Arabidopsis thaliana: one gene and its partner. The protein of the gene in region 2 interacts with the protein of the main gene of each other region in a pairwise test. Each region holds a gene or a part of one and is shown on either strand. Other genes may lie near its edges. The genes, in order: ERS1 and CTR1.

The links.
Region 1: the proteins of CTR1 (region 2) and ERS1 interact in a two-hybrid assay, tested with the Arabidopsis thaliana proteins (2 studies listed by BioGRID).

Annotation. Positions count from the first base shown.
Region 1 is NC_003071.7:17,083,821-17,092,986, forward strand, and holds ERS1 (ethylene response sensor 1), read right to left. Parts: upstream 3,507-9,166; 5' UTR 3,260-3,506; intron 3,025-3,259; 5' UTR 3,000-3,024; coding exon 2,094-2,999; intron 1,999-2,093; coding exon 1,630-1,998; intron 1,550-1,629; coding exon 1,283-1,549; intron 1,205-1,282; coding exon 1,077-1,204; intron 987-1,076; coding exon 815-986; 3' UTR 501-814; downstream 1-500. Other genes in the region: AT2G40935 (PLAC8 family protein), read left to right, coding at 1-143, 232-396; BZIP17 (Basic-leucine zipper (bZIP) transcription factor family protein), read right to left, coding at 4,003-4,430, 4,769-6,506. UniProt on the Arabidopsis thaliana protein: Ethylene receptor related to bacterial two-component regulators. Acts as a redundant negative regulator of ethylene signaling.
Region 2 is NC_003076.8:971,262-983,238, forward strand, and holds CTR1 (Protein kinase superfamily protein), read right to left. Parts: upstream 8,589-11,977; 5' UTR 8,400-8,588; coding exon 7,752-8,399; intron 7,577-7,751; coding exon 7,275-7,576; intron 7,178-7,274; coding exon 7,036-7,177; intron 6,819-7,035; coding exon 6,715-6,818; intron 6,580-6,714; coding exon 6,374-6,579; intron 6,017-6,373; coding exon 5,741-6,016; intron 5,551-5,740; coding exon 5,510-5,550; intron 5,234-5,509; coding exon 5,165-5,233; intron 5,085-5,164; coding exon 4,984-5,084; intron 4,895-4,983; coding exon 4,810-4,894; intron 4,716-4,809; coding exon 4,617-4,715; intron 4,384-4,616; coding exon 4,315-4,383; intron 4,212-4,314; coding exon 4,080-4,211; intron 3,966-4,079; coding exon 3,871-3,965; intron 3,794-3,870; coding exon 3,697-3,793; 3' UTR 3,589-3,696; exon of another isoform or gene 3,448-3,588; 3' UTR 3,099-3,447; downstream 1-3,098. Other genes in the region: AT5G03710 (replication factor C large subunit), read left to right, coding at 134-366; HSFA3 (heat shock transcription factor A3), read right to left, coding at 652-1,548, 2,081-2,422; HD2C (histone deacetylase 2C), read left to right, coding at 10,733-10,745, 11,078-11,148, 11,226-11,437, 11,551-11,600, 11,714-11,853. UniProt on the Arabidopsis thaliana protein: Acts as a negative regulator in the ethylene response pathway. Phosphorylates the cytosolic C-terminal domain of EIN2, preventing the signaling in the absence of ethylene.

The DNA of each region.
Region 1 (9,166 bases), on a different chromosome or scaffold from region 2:
TAACCCATTGCATCTCCTGGGCTTTGGTCAATACCATTTGCTGCTTTGCAACTAATGGCGCATTGCTCGGTCTACCGGGATGCTTTGTGTCATGTTATGCTTGCGGGTACCGCAAATCATTAAGAGCCAAGTACAATTTACAGGTTAGAATTTCTCAAACGACACATATGTGGATAATACCATTAGGTATGTATGTGGCGCTTCTGACTGATTTAACATTCTTTGATTCAGGAGGCTCCATGTGGGGATTTTGTAACACACTTCTTCTGTCACTTGTGTGCCATTTGCCAAGAATACAGAGAGATTCGAGAACAAAGCAGTGGTTCATATCCTCTTGACATGAAGATGGCTATCACCAATGCCCCCTTGGCTCAAACCATGGAATCAGCTAACTGATCACTTTGTCTCATTGAGCTTCCTTGTTTATTTTGTAGAAGACATTTTTCTTTTCATCGACTTTTGCAATGTATTTGAGAAGTTTGATGAGTAAGTAAAACTTTCTAAGGTAATTTATCATATATAAAAAAGAATTTGTGAATCTGCCACAACCACAAAATGTTGCTCTTTTCGTGAAGATTTATATCGTTTATTTAGTAGTGAATTCCAAAACATATTCTCTAAAGTAATGTTCAATAAAATATAGTGAGAACAGATAAGGTACCTCTCCCCGTATATAGGATTTTTATTTTACATATTACATCCAACAAAATCCAATAAGTTAGATCACACCGTCCGGTCATGTATTTTCTTCTTTCTCTTGCTGCTGTGTAGTTAAAAAGTCTCACCTCAATACAAGTCTTTCCAACGTAATGTATCACCAGTTCCACGGTCTGGTTTGTGATTTAGCTGCAAGATGTAGCGCCATTGAACCACTGCTACTGCTTGGACCGTTGCAGATACCAAGCCTGATGATGAACGAAGCTGTGCAGCCTTTCTCTAGGCCTTCACTTTCTATCCACATGTATCCTCCCATTAGCCCGACAAACCTAACCAGAGACATCCATCAACAGAAACTTGCCTTTTAGCTATTTGTAACACCATCTGCTTATAACTTATATATACTTTTGGGTTGTTACCGTTTACAGAGAGCTAGCCCGAGTCCTCCACCGGAATGGTTCCTCTGAGTTCCGGTCCGAGGCTGTACAAATTTGGTAAAGAGCAAAGGAATGTCTTGTGTGTGAATTCCACACCCTGTGTCCTTCACCTGCACCATGATTATAACAGTAAGAACACAGTAAGAAGCTTAACTTTGTAGTTTAGTAATTTGTAGATTGGGTCTAACCTGCACACATAGGTAGAAGTGACTGTCACTGAGAACTGGAAAAAATTCTGGAGATGGTAATTCTTGTAAGGACTCGGGTTTCATGATAGAGGCTATTATGGAGATGTAGCCTTCCTTAGTAAATTTCACAGCGTTGCCCATGATGTTAAGAATTGTTTGCATCAGACGTTTCTCATCACCAATAGCATAAGTTGGTAAGTCTGCAGACAGAATCAGATTCGTTGATAGTTTCTTCACTGATGCGATTGGCTTTATCAAAGAGATGACCTGCAGATTCAAAGCGCCCATGTTATTCATGTAAGACATATATAATGGACTTCACTGGTTAATCAGGGGGATTTAGTTACCTCTTCAAAGATCGCTTGTAGACTGAATGGTTCATTTTCCAAGAGTAAGCTCCCATCTTCCAATCTCGAAAGATCCAGAACGTCGCTGATTAGTGTAGCCACAAGATTGCTGCTTTTCAGTATTGTCTCGATCATAACTCTTTGCTCTGGAGACAGCTCAGTCTCAAGGAGAAGAGAAGAAAGAGAGATGATGGCATGCATCGGTGTCCTCATCTCGTGGTTCATAACAGCTAGGAAATCATTTCGAGCATGTACTGCCATCTCAGCCTCTTGACGAGCCTTGTCTAAAGCAAAATTCTGCTCCATAAGCTGGTCACGAGCGTGCATGGATTCTTCCAAAATTGCAGCATGTGAGAGAGCCACAGCCACCTGAATGAAGTGAGAGTCAGGGGACAAAACAAAACACTAAAAGCTGGTAAAGCAACTTGACACACAACCAAACATATACAAGTAAAGAGATGGACCTGATCCGCCACGTTTTCTACAAGCTCTAACTCATGGTCTCTCCATTTTCTTGCACCATCGGTTGGGAGAATCAGGACCATGATAGCGTAACCTTTGCCAGAGAGATCCGACCAGTCACTGCCTTGGAAATTAGAGAGATGTAAAAGAGGAACACGGACAGAAACAACCTCAGGAGGTGAATATCTCCCAACCGGAGGCCCAATCTTAGCCAAAGGACAAGAATGAGGTATGTGCATAGCTTGAGCGCTATTGAAGAGTTCATTAATAATCGGGAGATTTATCGGCACACTGCTTCCAACTTGTATTTTATGACTCAAAGTATGAGAAAGCTGCAAATATAAACCACTTTGAGAAGGCATCCACAACGCACATTCCTCAAGACAAAGAGTTTTACCAAGCTCAACAAGAGTGGTTCTTAAAATAGTATGCCTATCAAGAGTTCTTCTAATTCCATGAGTAAGCATCCTAACATGCCTACCAGTCTCCTCTTGTGTTAAAATAAGACCCATTTCTCTATCTAACTCATCAGCTTTCTTCTTGAGAAACAATTCCCTGTTCTTAACACTGAGAAGATCAGGAATAATATGAACCAACATCAACGCGGTAGCACACGACACAACCGCGCAAGAGACTTTAGCAATAGTCATGACAATGGCAACGGCTTTGGAATGCATGAAGAACATCCATAGGTTGATGAAATGCGTAGCTCCACAGAGAATGATAAAGGCTCCAAACTGCATAAGCACCCATTTGTAAGGGAAGAAAGCAGACTTTTGCACGAAATAGATAAGCTCGAGTGGGATTGAGAAGTATGCAAGAGCAATCAACGCATCTGAGATGTATTGGTACTTCACTAACAGATCATCTTGATTCACATGCGTCTCAAAACAATCGCATGACTCCATTTTTGGAGCTCTGACTTGTGTTGACCTGGTCAACAAAACTCAGATATCAGTGGAGACTAGATTTGGACTAGAGCTATGGAAAAGAGATACAAAATCTATCCAGAAAATTGAATCTACAAAATGAGATTGATTCCTCGATAACACAACACAGATCGATCAGATGAAATGTTACTAAAGTAGTGAAATCAATCTTCATCGATAGATAGATCCGATCAGAAGAGAATAAATAGAAAGTTTGTTATCCCGAGACGGCACAGTACCTGGAAGAGAAGGATTCATGACGGCGGAGCTATTGGTGGTGTGAGCCTCATAGCTTTGGGTAATGATGAAAAAAAGAAAGTTCAAGTTCGTCTTCCTGATTGATCCGAGCGTTATGAACTTGAAGAAATGAGAATCCAAGCGTAACAGTGTGATAAAGAAGAAACCAATGAGAGGTAAAAGTTTTTGATGATTTTTTTTTTGCAAAGAGGGAAGTTCACGTGTTATAGGCCTACTTGTTACATTTAAATAATAATATTATTAGCTCTCTTTTTCTGACAATGAAATAAAGAAATTTTAAAAGTGAGCTCAGGTTCATGAATCTGAGGGTTCATGCTAATCCAATTCTCTCTCCGTCGACCTTCAGGTAAAGACTTCTTCTTCTGTCACTTGTGTGCTCATATTCTCCTGCTATCACCGATGCCCCCTTGGCTCAAACCATGGAATCAACTAACTGATCACTTTTGTCTACTTGGATTTCAGCTTCTATTGTAGAATGACATTTTTTGGTCATCGACTTTTGCAATGTATATGAGAGGTTTGATAAAACTTTCTAAGGCTATGAGTTTATAAAAGGTAAAAAAAAAAAGTTACAGCATTCGGATTCTACATCTGGAAACAAAAACCGGACAACGGTATTAGCTAAGGATATTACGTGATACCAGAGAGCAGGTATTTATTCTTTTACATACAAAGCCTATATGAGAGAAGACCTGCTGATATATGTTTCAATCCTCATATGTCTTCAAGTGGTCACAAGATGAGGAGCTCCTGATCGAGGTAGGACACAGGAGTATGTTACATACTTTGCACTGTCCAGAAGCACGACTACAAAAACTCGAGACAGTGATTTTGGTCCCCCAATCATCCCATCTATATCTCCATCACCTCCTTCTCTGGGATCAACAAGCACAGATACAACCATTGATGAAGCAGGCTTGATTTCTTTGCTACTGCTGTTTCTTTGGTGCTCTTTCGTGAGGTTAAAATCTGATCCTGGGAGTGGAATGGGAAGACCACGAAGGATTCTTCTGTTCTGTTGCTTGTGTGTGTCTGTGGTGTTCTTACCGTGTTCAGCAGAGACGTTGGTAGCTGCAGGAATGATGGCTCCAGAGGTTGAGGATACATCAAACTGAAACACTTCAGTGCACATCCCTGAACTAAACATGGGACCTACAATATAGTCATTTAACAAACAAAAAAGGTGTTATTATTTAGTGAACAAGAAAGATATAAACGCTACTACTGCGCTTACAGCTTCTGCCGAGAAAGATGAAGAAAAATATACAATATGAGTAACAATTTCACATGTTCCTTATTAGTGTTTAGTATCTAATCCAGATTATACAATACATCTACTCATGACCAGAGATTTGCTGAAGGTAAGTTAAGCCTCATTAAAATGTTCTTGTGTCTAATATCAAGATATGATAAGGACTAGTATACCTACAATGCCTGCCTACATAACCAAGTCAAGGGAACAGAAAGTAAGATCAAAAACCCATGATTACCTGCAACACCTTCACGGAACCATTGCTGCATTTCACCGTTGGCTGCTTTTGTTTTGACTTGGTCTTTCAGAGTATCAGCAGAGCCAGAGGATAGAGCTTTCTGTTTTTCAGCCTTAGATCTATAGAGATGCTTAGCCAATTCCTCTGTCCTTCCCACGTCAGGTAGAGGCAGTGCAGGGGTATAATCTTTAGAGATCATCAAGTCAGCTTTCCTCTCCTTTGATTCAGAAGCCTTTCTCGAAGCCACGGCTTTCTCACTCGCCAATATAGAATTGATAATCAAATTCCCATCTATCTTCACAAGCTTGTCATTCCTCGGAACAAAGAGTGATGCAACTAGAGGCTCACTACCATTTCCAGGAGTGACAGAACTCTCTGTTGCAGATATATTTTTCCTAGCTCCTCGATCAGAATCTCTCCCACGATGCATCCCATTACTATTAGAAACCCCAGTACCAGCACCACTACGAGATGTATCCAAAACTCTATCCCTATGCTGACTGTAAATCTGGTCAGTAATATAATTAGATCTATAGTTCCCATAAAAAGCACCACTAATTCCTCCATAATTAACGTTCACAATTGGAGCTAATGCACCAAACAAAAATAGACAAAACAGAAGACCCAGAAAACTAATACTAGCCACCTTCTTGGTCTTAGCTTCACTCTTCTTACTCTCGGACTTCTTAGCCTTGGATGTTCCAAGGGTGTTCTGTGGTTTCAACCTAGGAATAGGAATCAAAGGCACTTGAGATCCTTGTTGCTTCACCATATAAGGAGGACAAGGCATCCATGGATAAGGCATTGGAGCCATAGGTGGATACATTCCCATCGGAGGTGGTGGAAGATGCGGCGGGCACATTCCATTGCCACCCAATTGCTGCCTTAGAGTAGCATTCTCAGCCATGAAATACGATATCTTACCGTTCAAATCCGTAATCGTAGAATGCATATTCCTAACCTTTTCTTCAAGCTCCTCGACGTAATGCTTCTTCCTCTGCCTAGAAAGCTGAGCACTTTCACGGTTTCTCATGAGTCTAGCTCTCTTTTTCTCATCTTCTTCACCGGTAACAGCACTAGCGTCAGCATCCTCTCCCGATCTCCTGTACTTACTGTTCCTAGACTCGTCAGTCAAATCCTCATCGATCTCTTTCTTCCTCTTGGTAATAGACGTCGTCGTCGTAGCAGCTTCTTCCACTTTAACCTTCTGGTCGACCGCAACGTTTCTCGATTTAGGCGACGATTCATTTGTAGCTTCCGAAACATCAGAACCGCAATTACCCGAACCCTGAGAGGACAATGGAGTCGGTAGATCTAAATTATGGTCAGCACCGGAGCAACGATCATCGGAATCTCTAGGAGATTCCCGGTTAATGCAACCGGAAGTTGTAATAGTCTTATCTGCATCTTTGGGAACAATACAATCACCGGAAATTCCAGAACTTTCAGACTCCGGAGTGAAATCACCAAACTGTTCTTGATTGGACGTATTGATAGGGATGAGAAACGACTCATTCTCAGCAGGGAAGTAAAGATCGTCCATACCGTCGAAAGTGAGCTCGAATTCACCATCGGGAAACCCCAGATCGGACATTAGTTCACCAATCGGAGTCTGATCGGAGAAATGATCATCTAACGGAGGGATCGAGATGGAATCAAAATCGGACGGAGGAGGGTAGGTGGAATTAGGGTCCGGAGCAGGTGGAGGAGGCTGCTCCTTGGTGATTGGTTCAGCCATTTTGAAACTGAGTTTTAGGGTTAGGGTTTCGAATTTGGGGATGAAGAAGAAGAAGGAGAGATTCAAAAGGAAGAAAGGGGTTATGGAGGAATGAGGTTAGAACACGGGAGAAAGACGACGAGGGGTTTAAAGACAAAGAGGAAGAGGAAGTAGAAGGTGCTTGCTTCCGTCTTCGTCTACTGCGCGTGGGTCTTACGCTCCGGAATCATACTCGCTAACTTACACTAGTGATTCATGAAACTTATAATATCCAAAATTAATCGCTTTCCAAAATAAATGATAAACAGCAAATCTAGAAAAATAAATTGGGAAATTTATTTTGAATAACACTTTTCCTAAGAGTAGCTAAATTAAATTTTATGATGTGCTAGTGGGTTTTTTAATTTTGAATTTGTTTTTGATTGACTATTATATATGTTTAAGATAGTAAGTAGTAATTTTGATCTTCAAAAAAATATTAAACTGTTATTTTTAAAGAATTGACTTAATAGTTCATTTAATATTTGGGAAAGCAGATTTAAATTATTATTTTTTTTTCATAAATTAGGATATCAGTTTTAAGATTTCTTTTAAATATATAATTGACTTAATAGTTCATTTAAAATAATTTACGTAAATTACTTGGGGAATATATCATTTATCTCCCAAAAAATAAACTTAGTAATAATTTTTCGCGATTCGTTATATATCTTTTTTTTTTATATAATTACTTTCTTGATTTCACAAATCTCAAATAGATTGCGTTTAAGGTGACTGCAAAGATATGAATTTCTCACCATACATAATCTCTACAATTGTCTTGATACCAAACTATACGTGTTTCGTAATCGAGGGGGCTATAAAAGTAAAACAAAGCATATGGATTAGTTTGACGTTATAGTTATAGTAGTGTCGATTTGGTAGTGAATACAGAATACTCATGGTCATGGTGCATGTTGTTGACTTTTTGGGATCGAGCTTTGAGACGGGACACCACCAAGTGATTAGTTTTGTGTATCCAAATTTAATTCTTGGGCGTCTAAAATATCTTAGTCTTTGGTGCATTATCATTCTACATAGTCGTCATTTCACGATTATGCTGAATATATATTTGGGTACAAAGGGCAAAAGACAAGGGCGAGTGTAAAACCAAGAAGCAGAGGAAGAGCGTGGGAGATATCGGTATCCACATGTTAAAAGCACGTTGACTTCATTGTGTTGGAGTGAAGGAAGGGTTTTTGTTTGTCTCCGTTAATCTCTTTCTCTCGAAACTTCTCTCTTCTGATCTAAACCCTAAAAATAATGCTATATTATCTCCTCACTTTCCAACTGTGTGTCGTTTTTGAGTCTCTTTTCCGTCACGCATGTCTCCTCTCCCCTCTGCATCGCTCATCATTTCTTCTCTCTCACCTCATACTATCACAAATAGAGTATTGTTTATTGATGCATTTTAAATAGATATAACTATTGGCTTTTCGTTCACGTTCAAAGTTCAAAACTATGAAATAATGAAATCCGCTAGGAAATGAGAAGGTGTATATTGGTATAAAGCATCATTTTTTCACGAGAGTTTTGAAAGACACAAGCCAAAATAATGAAAGACTACATTATATTCTTCACAAAAGAACACAAACTCATCAAAGACTAACATTATGAAAAAGTAAACCCTCTGATCTGATATACGTACCTTTCTTGGGAGGTGCTTGCAAAGAGAGGTGGTGGTGGGTGCAATGAAAATCTAATCCATACTTTGACCACCGTTGAAAATAGACAACTTTGTAGAATTAGAGATAAACATGTGACTGTGGTCCGTTATAAGAAATTAGAATAAACAGGTTACAGACTAAATGTGTGCTCGTTTACATACATGGTTTTATAAGTTCAACCACAAATAAGCTTACATCTATCGGAATTTTTTTTTCCAAAACAACTTCGACTTCTCTCTTATGATCTTATCTAAACCGACTAGTAATTCCAATTTAATCTTATTCGAGTTTTTTTTTTTTTTTTTTTTTTGGTAATAGAAAGAAATAAGATCAAACGTTGGTCGCAAACGTGGAATGTGTTGAAATAACCCATCAATCAAACACTCAAGGTGTGAATGGTAACAAACTAACAATGGTAATAAGCTTTAGGGATTTTCAATAGCATCATATTATATGCACTAACTAAAAATAGCTCCCACAAGGCCACACCAATTTTTTTATAAAAATAAAAGCAATAAGGTATTTTTACCTTTTTAAAATTCATTAAAAAAAAAAAATCAACATTAAAATAGTTATCTTCCCTCTCCTTGGGTTTTGAGGGAGACAGAGATAAGATTTGCATCTATAACGAAGCACTTCTCTCTTCTCTCTCGTCCTCAATACTTCGGTGTCAATCTGATATAGGAAACTAGGCATTGATATATGGTTAGATACGTGGCAATACATGAGTGGAGACAGTAGCTGTGAGACGTGGCAAGAGAAGATTGGTCGATGGGAGTGTTAGAGGAAGAATCGAGATGCAGAGATATATAGCTAATGAAGATCATTTGCAGAAGATAAGAAGATTTTGGATTTGTTGTTTATAGTTTCCTTTTGGATTCTCTCTGAGAATCGTTCCTCATCGTTCGCCGGAGTTTCATGTTGAACTCTTGTAGATGAGAAGTTGATATCGCGTTTCATGAACGTTGTATCAAT
Region 2 (11,977 bases):
CAGGTTAGCTAAACGTGAGACGAGATTACATGAATACTGGCTATTGAATTTGTAATTAGTTTATAAATCTGTTATAAACCGGTACAAATTCCTTCAATCAAGACACAAAACATACCCCAACAGACAAGCAAAGGAGAAGAAGAAGAAGAAGAAGAAGAAGAAGAAGAAGAAGAAGAAGAAGAAGAAGAAGAAGAAGAAGAAGAAGAAGAAGAAGAAGAAGAAGAAGAAGAAGAAGAAGAAGAAGAAGAAGAAGAAGAAGAAGAAGAAGAAGAAGAAGAAGAAGAAGAAGAAGAAGAAGAAGAAGAAGAAGAAGAAGAAGACAGAGAGAGAGAGGAAAGAGCTTTTGCATTCGTACCTGGGACATAAATGATTAAACCAGACAGCTTCAGAGAGAAAAATCCTTTTAAAGAAACATTGTTCCACTTCAGACCTGCAAAAATTTTAATTACTCAAGCAGATAAAAGCATAATTTTGTGTTATATATCCTTCATAATCAATGTTATTAGACCCTGGATTAAGTGAATAAGAAAGGAACAATCAAACTCATCAATATTATATATATGTATAAAGAGTGCATTCAAAATGAATAATGAATTAATAGTTCACCCGATAAGAAACGGGTTTTTGGTCTAAACTATATATGAAAAGATCCTAAGGATCATTCATTGGCGTATTATCATCATCATCACCAGTTGGCCAGTTGAATCCAGTCTCTGTGATTCCTGCAGCAAATTGTTCCCAGCAGACATCAGGCAAACCATCACTTGTTGTTTCTGCAGCAAAACCAAACTCTGAGACATCATTATAGTCCATTGTGTTTCCCCATGCATCGGTGTTGCTGAAACTCGGTATTGTAGTATCGAAACCCATGCTCCATGTCGTCTCTTCTTGTTTAATAAGTCCTTCAGGAGATGGGAAGGACATCAAGTAATCTGGTTTGCTCATCTCTTCTTCTGATGGATACATCAAGTTCTTGCCTTTTGGATCGCTTGAAGTCATCCCTCCTAAACCCTTGGTGTTCTCAGTCTCTTCGTCATACATTAGCAATCTCTCCCAATCATCAGCTTCATACTTCACCACCTCCCCTCCTGTTGGAGAATCTTGAGGCTGCTGGTGGTGCTTGATGAACTTCTTTCTCGCCTTTTCCAATCCAAGAGCTCCTCCTTTTTCTTTTCCTTTGAAGTTCTTCAGGCGTTCCAAGAAACCCCGGTTCTGAAACAACTTAGCCAAGAAAGAGAGCAATTGCTTCTGACGTTGCTCTGCAGCTTTCAGCCTCTGGTTTACAGTGTCCACATGTCGAGCTGTGCCTCTGCTTTGCTGCTGAAGCTCAACCATTTCCTCCATCAATGCACGCCGCTCTTTCCTCAGCTTCTCAATCTCTCCTCCAACCTCAGTAGGTGACCCTTGGCTTTGGCTAGTGCTACTGCAGCAAGTTTGGTTGGATTGTGGTGATCGACGACGATGAATGTTCTTCAGAAGATGCTTCTTGCCTCTAAGGAAAGCCTCGTTAGCGAATTCCCACTTGTCAGTATCAATCTTTCGAAATCCCTGGAAACATTCCAACCCCAAAAAAACAACTCAAACAAGCTCAAGATAAAGTAAGTAAACACATTTACATCAAGACAAGACCAAATATCTCAAGATATTAGAAAGATTCTACCTCTGAAGTGTGAAGAACATGTGAGTAATGATGTCTTAAACCAGACTGAAGTTAACATTGTGAGAAAATAACAAAACTTCATAAACCAAAATTCTCCATTCAAACGAAACCATAAGTATACAAGATTACAAGCTTATTTCAGATGAGAAGTTATTATAAGATCCAATCGAGGCCAAAATTTCATAGATACAAAACTCAGTGTTACATGATAGAGAGATTAAACAAATCCCAAAAAGAAAAGAAAATTACAGGTAATTTTTTACAAGTTATCAAAAAACGAGTTTCAAGAATCTATACAAAATGGTTTTGGTCATCAAAAAGATTACAGAAACATAAAAACAAAACAAAACTGAAAGAAGAAGAAGAAGAAGAAGAATGAGTCTATCTAGAAAACAGAAACAGAGCAAGAGAGATGATTACATAAGTGTTAAGCTGTCTGACGAAGCTGGAGAAATTGTTGTGTTTGAAATTCCTTGGAAGTATGATTCTGGCAAACTCTAGAGGATCCCAAACTACGAAGCTAGCTCCGGTCAGTCCCCAAGAGATGACCGGGTCAAGAGTCGGGTCATCAACCAAATCAAAAGTCTTGGATAAAAAAGGTGGAATTGGATTCCCTTGTAAGATGTCTAGTGGCATGGGAAGTGGTGACCCAGAGAAACCCATGTCAGTGTCGACGTAGAGAGACCCGGGTATATCGGATCGTCTCGAAACGGGTACTGAAATTGGAGTTGGTTTAGAAACAGCATCTTTTTTTGGGCTCATTTGATATAGTAGAAAATTTACGGGTTTTAGTGAGAGAGAGAGTGAGAAATTGGGGTGTGTGTGATAATTAGGGGGTTTAAGAGAAGAAGGATGAGAGGTTTAATGGTTTATAAAGGTTTAGGGAAGGAAGTAACCGACAAACTGTAGTCAGATAATTGAAAAAAATCTGGGGAATAGAGAGGCGGTGGAAATGGGTGGGTCAGTTCCCGCCACCGTGGATTTATCTTTTTCGTCATCATGTTCCATTGATTCATCAGTTTAGAAGAAATTTGGAAACTTTAGTGACAAATAATTGTACAACCGACATTGAAATTGAAAGTTGTTTCCTTGCAGCTTCACTTAGCTCTCTCTCTCTGTGATTTGGTGAAGGAGAGAAAGTGGTGACGATGGTGGGTCCCACGTCATCTTGAGATTTTTGAAAGGAGGAGTGATTTAGCGCGTTTGCCAGGTCAGCTTTCTAATTTGGAACTGGGCCCTCACAAATCACTGATTCGCTTTTCGTGTTTCCTTTTTCAGAATTTAATATTGTATAATTTTGATTTACGCAATCCTATTGGTTACCGATCCATCAAACGATTAATTCGGAAGACAGGTAAAGTCGTTTTCAAGTGTGGGAACTTACTTAGACGCGAAGGCAAAAATAGTTGACTATGTATCTAGATATTTTCAGTCCCAATGCGTTTTTAACGATTTGGGATTATATTCATCTGTATTAGAGTCTCCGAAAGTTACAGTCTTATTTCATTTCTGTTGGTTTATAGTCCAGACTAATCGCACAGTGAACAAATGTAAATCCAATGAATCATATTGAGTTTGCAAAACCCTTTGACAGCATTTACCAGCTGCTCTTTTTTACCTTCGCTTAGTAACTAATTTAGCGGTATAAATGTACAGCAATGTAATTAAATATAGCTTTCAGTGCATTGCTACAAAGACATAACAACAAAATATTGCTTACCCTTTGGGACTAGATAGATAGATTATATCCCTCACATTGTTTCCATTACTACATTTTTTTTTCCTCCCTGTGACAATAGTCATGTACATTTTAACAATCTGCAACATTAAAAAGGGAACAAAACAGCAGACAAAGATCGCAAAAATAATACATGTATAAAAACCATGGGATTCTGTAGGATATGATTGATAGCTCATGAGGAATGTACCTTTAAAGCTATATCTTAACTAGTGTCTCCCTCCTGGGCAGCAAAAGAATGCTGAGAGTATATGTGCATATCATGATTATAACAACTTTTGAATGGACCGGGGGTATTTTACAAATCCGAGCGGTTGGGCGGAGGAACCGCTGATTTGATCAATGGTCTTAGCAAGTCCATTATAGTTGCAAATGATGGACGCTTCCATGGCTCACTGGTAATGAAACACATACATAAACATGAAGTCTATTCAAGAAGAATTCAAAAAAGAGATAGAAAATCTTAACGTACTTGGTCCAACAACCCTCGATTATGGCTGCAACCTGAGGATTCAGATTACGCGGGATCTCCAGCCGTTTACACTTGAAACCAACCGCAGCTACAACCTATGGAACATTTTTTTGTATGATCATATATAGCATGTTATGAAATGTAGAGTGAGGGACTTCCAAATGCAAAATAATATCATTATTATTTGAGATGTTTAGAGTGGAAAGTACCTGAGCCGGATTTAAGTTACCCCATGGTTGTTGCAATGTAGCAAGCTCCCACAAGATGACCCCGAAGCTGTACACATCTGACTTTTCATTAGACGGCTCATCTCGCAGGACTTCTGGTGCCATCCACTCGGGCTGATATATCAAAGTCAGTAATTATTTAGCTTCCATTGGAAATAGGACCTAGAAGAAAGTTACGTTGTTCAGCGTGTTTTAGTTTCAAACAAACTGAACTTACGGTTCCAGCTGCTGACTTCGAGGAAAGAAACGTGCTGGCCTTCAATCGCGAGAGACCAAAATCACAAACCTGAAATTTCAAGACAAATTGAGGAGTTAGAATAATAATGTTCTGATTGTTTTTAAGACGACAGCTTGAGGCTGCTGTATCTTTTAAGTTTCAGCAGATTAACGCCTTTTTGTAATGTCTCCAAACCAATTTAGAATTAAAAATCATAATTTATATATAAGCTTGTCTCACAAGAGGAATAAAATATCAAAATCAAAACATTGGACACAACAATTTCTAATTTAGATTCAAACCTTGACTGTATATTTTTTGTCAACCAATAAGTTTGGAGATTTTAGATCTCTATGCACAATTGGAGGATTGCGATTGTGAAGATAATTCATTCCCTTAGCCTGTGACAGAGAATTGGAAAGAAAGTTCCATGTGAAGAAACACCAAGATCAGGAAGTAATCACCCATACATGTAACATAAGGAATTAAACATACCACATCATAAGCCATACTCAGGCGACGTCTCTCATCTAATTGCTCCCTTGCTCCACTTTTATGCAAAAGTCTGTATAAACTACCTCTGTTTGAAAGAAATCATGGTATTAGAGTCATTATAGGCCAAAATTCTACACTCAGTACATCAAACCTTCCAAATCCAAGTAATTGTACCTTGACAAATATTCTGTCACTATTGACAAATTTGGAGGTTGAGTGACCGCACCCATGAAGAGAACAATGTTAGGGTGGCGAAGGCGTTTCATTATCGCAACCTGACAGCGAATCAAGATCATTGGAGACATTAATACAACAAGTTCATTACCAAAATCAAGAGAAAATTTTATTTGTGCACCTCTCTTAAGAACTCATTAACACGCTCAGCATGGAAGTCTTGCTCCATGAGAATTTTCACAGCAACATCCTGAAATTGATAGAGAATATTACTGCAATAATCAAAATTAGAATTCTTCTAGTGATAGAATTGTAAAATTCAAACAGGAAGACAAATTTATGATATAAAGACACATATACATCTAAAATGGGACACCTTTTGTCCGTGTTTAATTTCTGACAGAACGGAGAGTCACATATACAATAACTTTGCCTTTTATAATACCAAGCAGATCCAAAAGTCACAACCAAATTTTTAGAGCGAAAAAAAATTCAGCTGCGTAAATTCTGACAAAAAAGTTCTTACCGAGCCATGCCACTCAGCACGGTGGACAGTGCCAAAGGAACCTGAAAGAGCAGTCGCTCAAATTAGAGTGGAAGAATTAAAGGCAACAGAGAAGAATGTAATCTCAAAATGGGTGGCACTTTTTCCTTATTTTGTTCGAGAACAGAGTCCAAAGCAAAACCACTTCCTCAAGAATTTCATATTTCTTTGCATTTTTAGACCGAATCATTAATTTTTCCGTAAAATTATTACCTGCTCCAATCTTTTCTTTTATATTAAGATCACACCACGGGATGTCCATATCATCACCATCAAGTCCAAGTTCCCTATTTGCCCTGTTTGGAACTGGCTGACTGATTGGTGGGGCATTCATAGGTGCTGCTTCAATTTGATTTGACGCACGCATCATGTTCTGTGGAGGCATATTAGCACTGGGTGGCAAAGACCCACCACCATTTTCTGCCAATGCGTCATTCTCTCCACCCGGATTATCATATTGCCTATGAAACATTGAGAATCCCATATCATCTACAACCATTCAAACAAGCAGATATAAGAAATTAGAGTCCAGAAGACAAGTCTTGCACATAAATGCACTAGAATTCATAAGCTTGAACAGCAGACTAACAAGTTTAACCTTAAATATCATTAGGCAAAGAACCCACCAACAAACATACACATCAACAGCCAAAAACAACTAAAGTGAAAAGAGACAAGAAAACAAACAATAGAATCATTCTAAGACTACTAACACTTCAGATACTGAGACATGATCAAGAAATACCCTAAATGATAGGAGATTACTCTTTTAGGGGAAATACAAAACGAGATGTAAGCAGCATGCAAAAAGTTAACATATTATTCAGGTTTTTTGTATGGGAATACCTGATGCAGGATCGAAAACAAGATTAAGAGACTGGCTATCGGAGAAATATTGTTTGGCTAGTAACCTAAAATCGACTGCGGGTTCAACTGGCTTTGGTCGTGGAAACCGCAGAGGAGAAGAAATTGAGATAGATGAAGGACCATTTAGCAAGGAATCAGGCTCCCATAAGTGACCTGGCTTTCCTACTAAATCAACCAGGTACTCCCTGAAACCAAAACAAATTTTCCACGTCATCAACCTAATATTCTGCGAAACATTTGGAGCTATAATTGTTTTTCCAGAAACAAAAAGCAAAGAAAATAGGAAAATAAAGGCTCTTTCGCAATCACTTGTATCATACCTATCAAGCCCAAACCTGACAAGGCACGAAGCGGCATCGTCTCTATTACAATATTTACATCCTTTGGCAATTCGACAGGGTAAATCAATTATGTCAGCCAGTACCTGCATGCACCAAATAGAAGATATAAAATACTTTTTTTCTTTGGAACATTCAACTATCAGTAACCTATTTTTTTCTAATCAATAACACCACTTTTCACATTCAACGTTCTTCATATGTATTCCAATAAAAACAAATGGATGAAGCACAATAATTTATATGATCATTTCACAAGATGTCTTAAATGTCATGGGGATAGCATCAAAGTTGGGATCTCACTTTGAAGAGTAAAGCTCGATGTCTGCAGAGTCCAACAGAGAGGCTACCTATGGGAACCACCACTTTAAAGATTTCTTTTAGACCATCAATGCACTCCTTCCACATGGGAACCAACTCATCTTCCCCCATGATAACTGGACCCCTGGGGAAGCAAGAATTAACGAGTACAATGTGAGAAATCACAGGAAGATATAAAAATATAAGTTCAAAGGGATAGTAAGGATTGTATGAGTACAAACCCCATACGATTGCAGATAAGCTTTGCCAGCTGATCAACAACCTCTTTTGTGGTAATGCAGCTACAAGATATGTCGTGGACTCTATTGTGAAGTTCCTTGAAGGCTGGATCACTACGCCTATCAACTATGATCGCTTCAAGCGAAGAATCAACACCAGAATCAACAGCTCTTAATGATTCAATTGAAGGGATGCGACCACTTTCATGCAGGTCGATGCATAAGGTCCAAATATAGGGATCCAGACCATTCATCATATAAAACCCATCAGGAACTTTATCATAGTACGATAAGCAGCCATTAACCTGATGCAGCACACAAAACAATCATACTCTGCAATGTATCTAAACAACATATCTCATTTGCTACTAATAGACTTTTGGTAAGGAGATCTAACTGAAACTTCGGAAACAAGAGGACCATATCTCTATAACCACGATTCAATAATTTTGGGAAACAAAGCTTAACAGGAACAAATACCCAGAAACGATGTGAAACGGTTTCGGCTGAACTTGGCGAAGTCCGTAAAGCAGACTCGTCCGGTACAGGATCCAGAAAGTTCGGATCGTCGGCACAAGTAGCCTCCGACGAAAGCCTTAACGCCAATGCAAGCTGCAGCTGATAACTCTCCTCCGTCTGCTGCGCCCAGCTCTTCCCAGATGAAGACCCTCCAGCGGAGTCCGCCGCCATCTGTATCCTCAAATCTCCTCCACCACCACCAAATCCAAGCCTAAACCCATCATCTTGAGGAAATCCAACAGATTCGATCTCGTTAGCCGCCGCAGAAAGCGTAGGCATGTAATAATCCCCAGACAAAGAGCTCTCACCGAAACTACTCCCACTGGATTGCCTTTGCAACCCTAGAGACGAAGCATACATATTATTCCCAACCCGATTCGGTTGATTATTCAACCTATGATCACCACCACCACCACCGCTAGGATCCCAATCAAATCCGCCTCTCTCCGCCTTAGCTTTCCCGGTGTTCCCGCTGTTATGGTTGCTCCTGTTTTCGCTCGACAAGGAATCATAGTGAGGCGGAGGAGCTCCGGTGACGGAAACTGACACCTGATCGTCAGAAAATTGACTAAGCAAAGTGTAATTAGATCTTCTACCGGGCATTTCCATGGAAAAGAGAGTTATCGCGATCTAGATGAGAGAGTTTCCCGATCATATAAACATCAAACCCTAGGAAACCGCCATTGTTGAAGAAGTTTGGCGAGCTAGCTAGCCACTTGTTTCTCTCTCTAGTTTTTCATTTTTTTTTTGTACTTTTTAAAAAAGTCTCTCTCTCTCTCTCTCTCTCTCTCTCTCTCTAATGGAATTGGATTTTTTTTTTGTTTTTGCGTTATCATAGGAAATAAACTTACTCGGTGCGTTTCTGTTGATAATTTCGTTATATTCCTCTTTTGTCCTCCTTTTTATGGAACTTTGACATTTTTTTTATTTTTTGTCAAAACAATTCTCCAATTTAGTTTGTTTTTTAGTGTATTATTATTTGTCTAATTTTTGTATTCGACTATGATATCTATTCATATGTTTTGTGCTAATTTAATCGCTAATAAAACTGTTTAAACAATTAATTTGGTATTTCATATTTTGGTGATAAGCAACTGAAATTGGAAGATAAAAAGTAGTATCGTAGTGAAAGTAGAAAACGCAAAGCTAAAAGAGGAACATACACAGTGTAAAATACTAAACCATCTTGCCTATCAAATCCAAATACTATCAAATTTGATCTTTTACACCAATCTGAATCCGTAACATTGGATCCAAGTTTCGTATACCTAAACATGAAATTTTCATTCGGCTCTACGTAGTCTAAAAAACTCGACATAAAATAAATAAAAAGCCTTTATAACGTCCACAATATTTAGAATAGAAAGTGAGAGAATGGACTATAATAAAATAATTGGAGTCGAGGGGGATGTATTCGTGTATGCGAAAATGGATGGGCTCTTCTGTCTTTATATTCCTTAATTTGTCTATTCAAACACATTCGTATTTCTGGTCTTCGGCCTGCGACTTCTATACCATGCATGCATCTTATCTCTCTCTTTTTTTTTTTTTTTCGTTTTCTTTTCTACTTCTCCATTTTTTTTTAATTTGGTTATTTTTATTGCCTTTATGTTTTTTGTGTATTATATATAAATGAACTAATAATACTTCATTATGTTTCGTGTTATTATAAGTGAATTTTTCACAACCATTACAAAAAATTATCTTTTGCTTAAAAGTTAACTTTGGATTATAGTACTTCATAAAAATGTAAAGATTTTGATCAAGTACTTATCAACGCAGCTTGGGTAGTCAATGTGCTGTCATTAATTTATCTATCAAGCTATCCACGCAGCTTGGACAATAAATAAATATTTAAATTCTATTGCATATTTATATCATTTGATCCGCTAAGGTTCATCGAATACTGCCAGGTTCATTGCACTCAACGCATTTTTGTCATTAACTTACGTTTTTTAGCCATGGCTGCTGAGAATATAAAGTTGCTACTATGTAAAGAAACTTTTGGGTTTGATCATATTTGTGCACAAAAAAAAATAAAAAAAAAATCATACTTTTAAAACTAGTATTAATCCAAAAAGTGCTAAAACATAACAAAAAAAAATTCTCCTTAACTACTATACAAACATATATTTTTTTATGCGCATAAATTAAAACTTAACAATTGATTATGATCACATATGTTGAAAAAAATCGAAATTATGTGTGATATGTAAAACCGGAGTATAATATTGGTAAACTATAAATTTAAGAGCATTGGAAAATGTTCATGATTCATGCCGAGAACTCTTCTAAATCTAAACACGAGAGGCCCCGAATAGATCTAACTAAAATGAATTGTGTTTAATATAATAATAGTGTTCCTTAATTCTCACTCGTGCAACTATCCATTTAATAATTTTAATTATTCGTAGTCGGGGACCGTACTTAGTTTTATCATATAAACTCTTCACAGATTTTGTTAACTGGTTTTTCTTTGGATTAGAAAAAAATTAAAACTTTGCGATACATTATGCTCAATTTATCCGTGGGACTTATTTTGAGGAATGGAGATAGATATTGTCATGAAGACATGAATATATAGACCCCACATGTTGACGAAAACTCCGTCAGTCAAATAAAGTGTTAAAAGTCCGTTACGATCCGTCCTGACACCGTTAAAAAAAGCCGTCAAAATAAAGTATGGGCTTGAAACGTTAGTTTTGTTGGGCTAATTTTAAAATCATGGCCCAACTAAAGGAGATATTCGAGTGGACCGCGTAACAGAGGATCCCTAAAATCCCTTCCTCCGATTAATAAATTCCAGCGGACATTTTAGCCTTCTCACATCAACACGCCCTAAAACCGCTCTCGAGAGACGAATCGCTCTCAGCTTCTTCTAGAACCTTCTCCTTCTCCTTCGACGCATCGTCGCCTTCAAGATCACACTACCTCGCACAACAATGGAGTTCTGGGGTAAAAAACATCTCCTATCTTACTCCTTCTTCTTCTTCGTTCTCTGCGCTTCATTTCCTGCATTTAGTTTTTTTTTAGCTTCTGGTTTCATCGCTTTTTTTCGTTTTGCCATGTTTTTCTACTGTTTTTTCTATGGAATCTTCTGTTTAGCTAAACGAGAAACGGGAATAGTGAGTATATGTGACAATCTAGGGTATGGACTGTTCGTCTTCGTAGAAAATTGGGGAAAACTGAAAAGTTTTCTCTCTCGCTAGGTTTTAACTCCGATAGAGGTTTCATTTGGGGATTTTGTTGCAGAATTACTGATTTGTATGCTTTCTATGCGTTTGCAGGTGTTGAAGTTAAGAATGGCAAACCACTTCACCTAGATCCTGGGCTAGACAGGCTCGTGCACATCTCTCAGGTACTTTTGAATTTGCAAGCTTAATTTGATTTATAAGAATGTATTTTACAGTGACGTTTGGTTTATTTTTGTTGAAGGTTGCTTTGGGAGAGAGTAAGAACAATGTAACCGAACCAATCCAGCTTTACGTGACTGTTGGATCGGATAAGCTTCTCATTGGAACGCTATCTCATGAGAAGTTTCCTCAGCTGTCTACGGAGATTGTCTTGGAAAGGAACTTTGCGCTGTCTCATACTTGGAAGAATGGGAGCGTTTTCTTCTCTGGTTACAAAGTTGATGCATCTGATCCATATCCTTTACTATTTGAACATTTTTGTTGTTATCGCTTTAAGCTTTGTTGATGAAAATGTTTTGGGGACTTGTTGCTTTACTCTGTTTTTGACTTCCTTGACTCTATCTCACCGAGCCTGAGGATTTGATTGATGATCAACTTGAGGCTGCTGGTTTCAAAGGTAAATGGGGACTTTTATATCCAGTCCTGCAATGATTTGTCTCCAGTTGTCTTATTTTAGTTTATTTAAGAACATCAATCTCTTATAAATTTATTTGGCCTTGGTTGAGCCAGCTGCTCCGAAATCTGCTGCGAAACAGGTGAACTTTCAGTTGCCAAATGAAGATGTCAAAGCCAAGCAAGATGATGACGCTGACGGTAGTGAAGAAGATTCTTCAGATGATGATGATAGTGAAAACTCTGGAGACGAGGAGGTACTTTTATCTATATATACTAGCTCAATTTGTTATAGAATTTTACTTAGGCTCAGTGACATGTTGATTAAACCTATAGACAGTGGTACTAGAGTTATCTTAAGTATGTTTGTAACTTCTATAT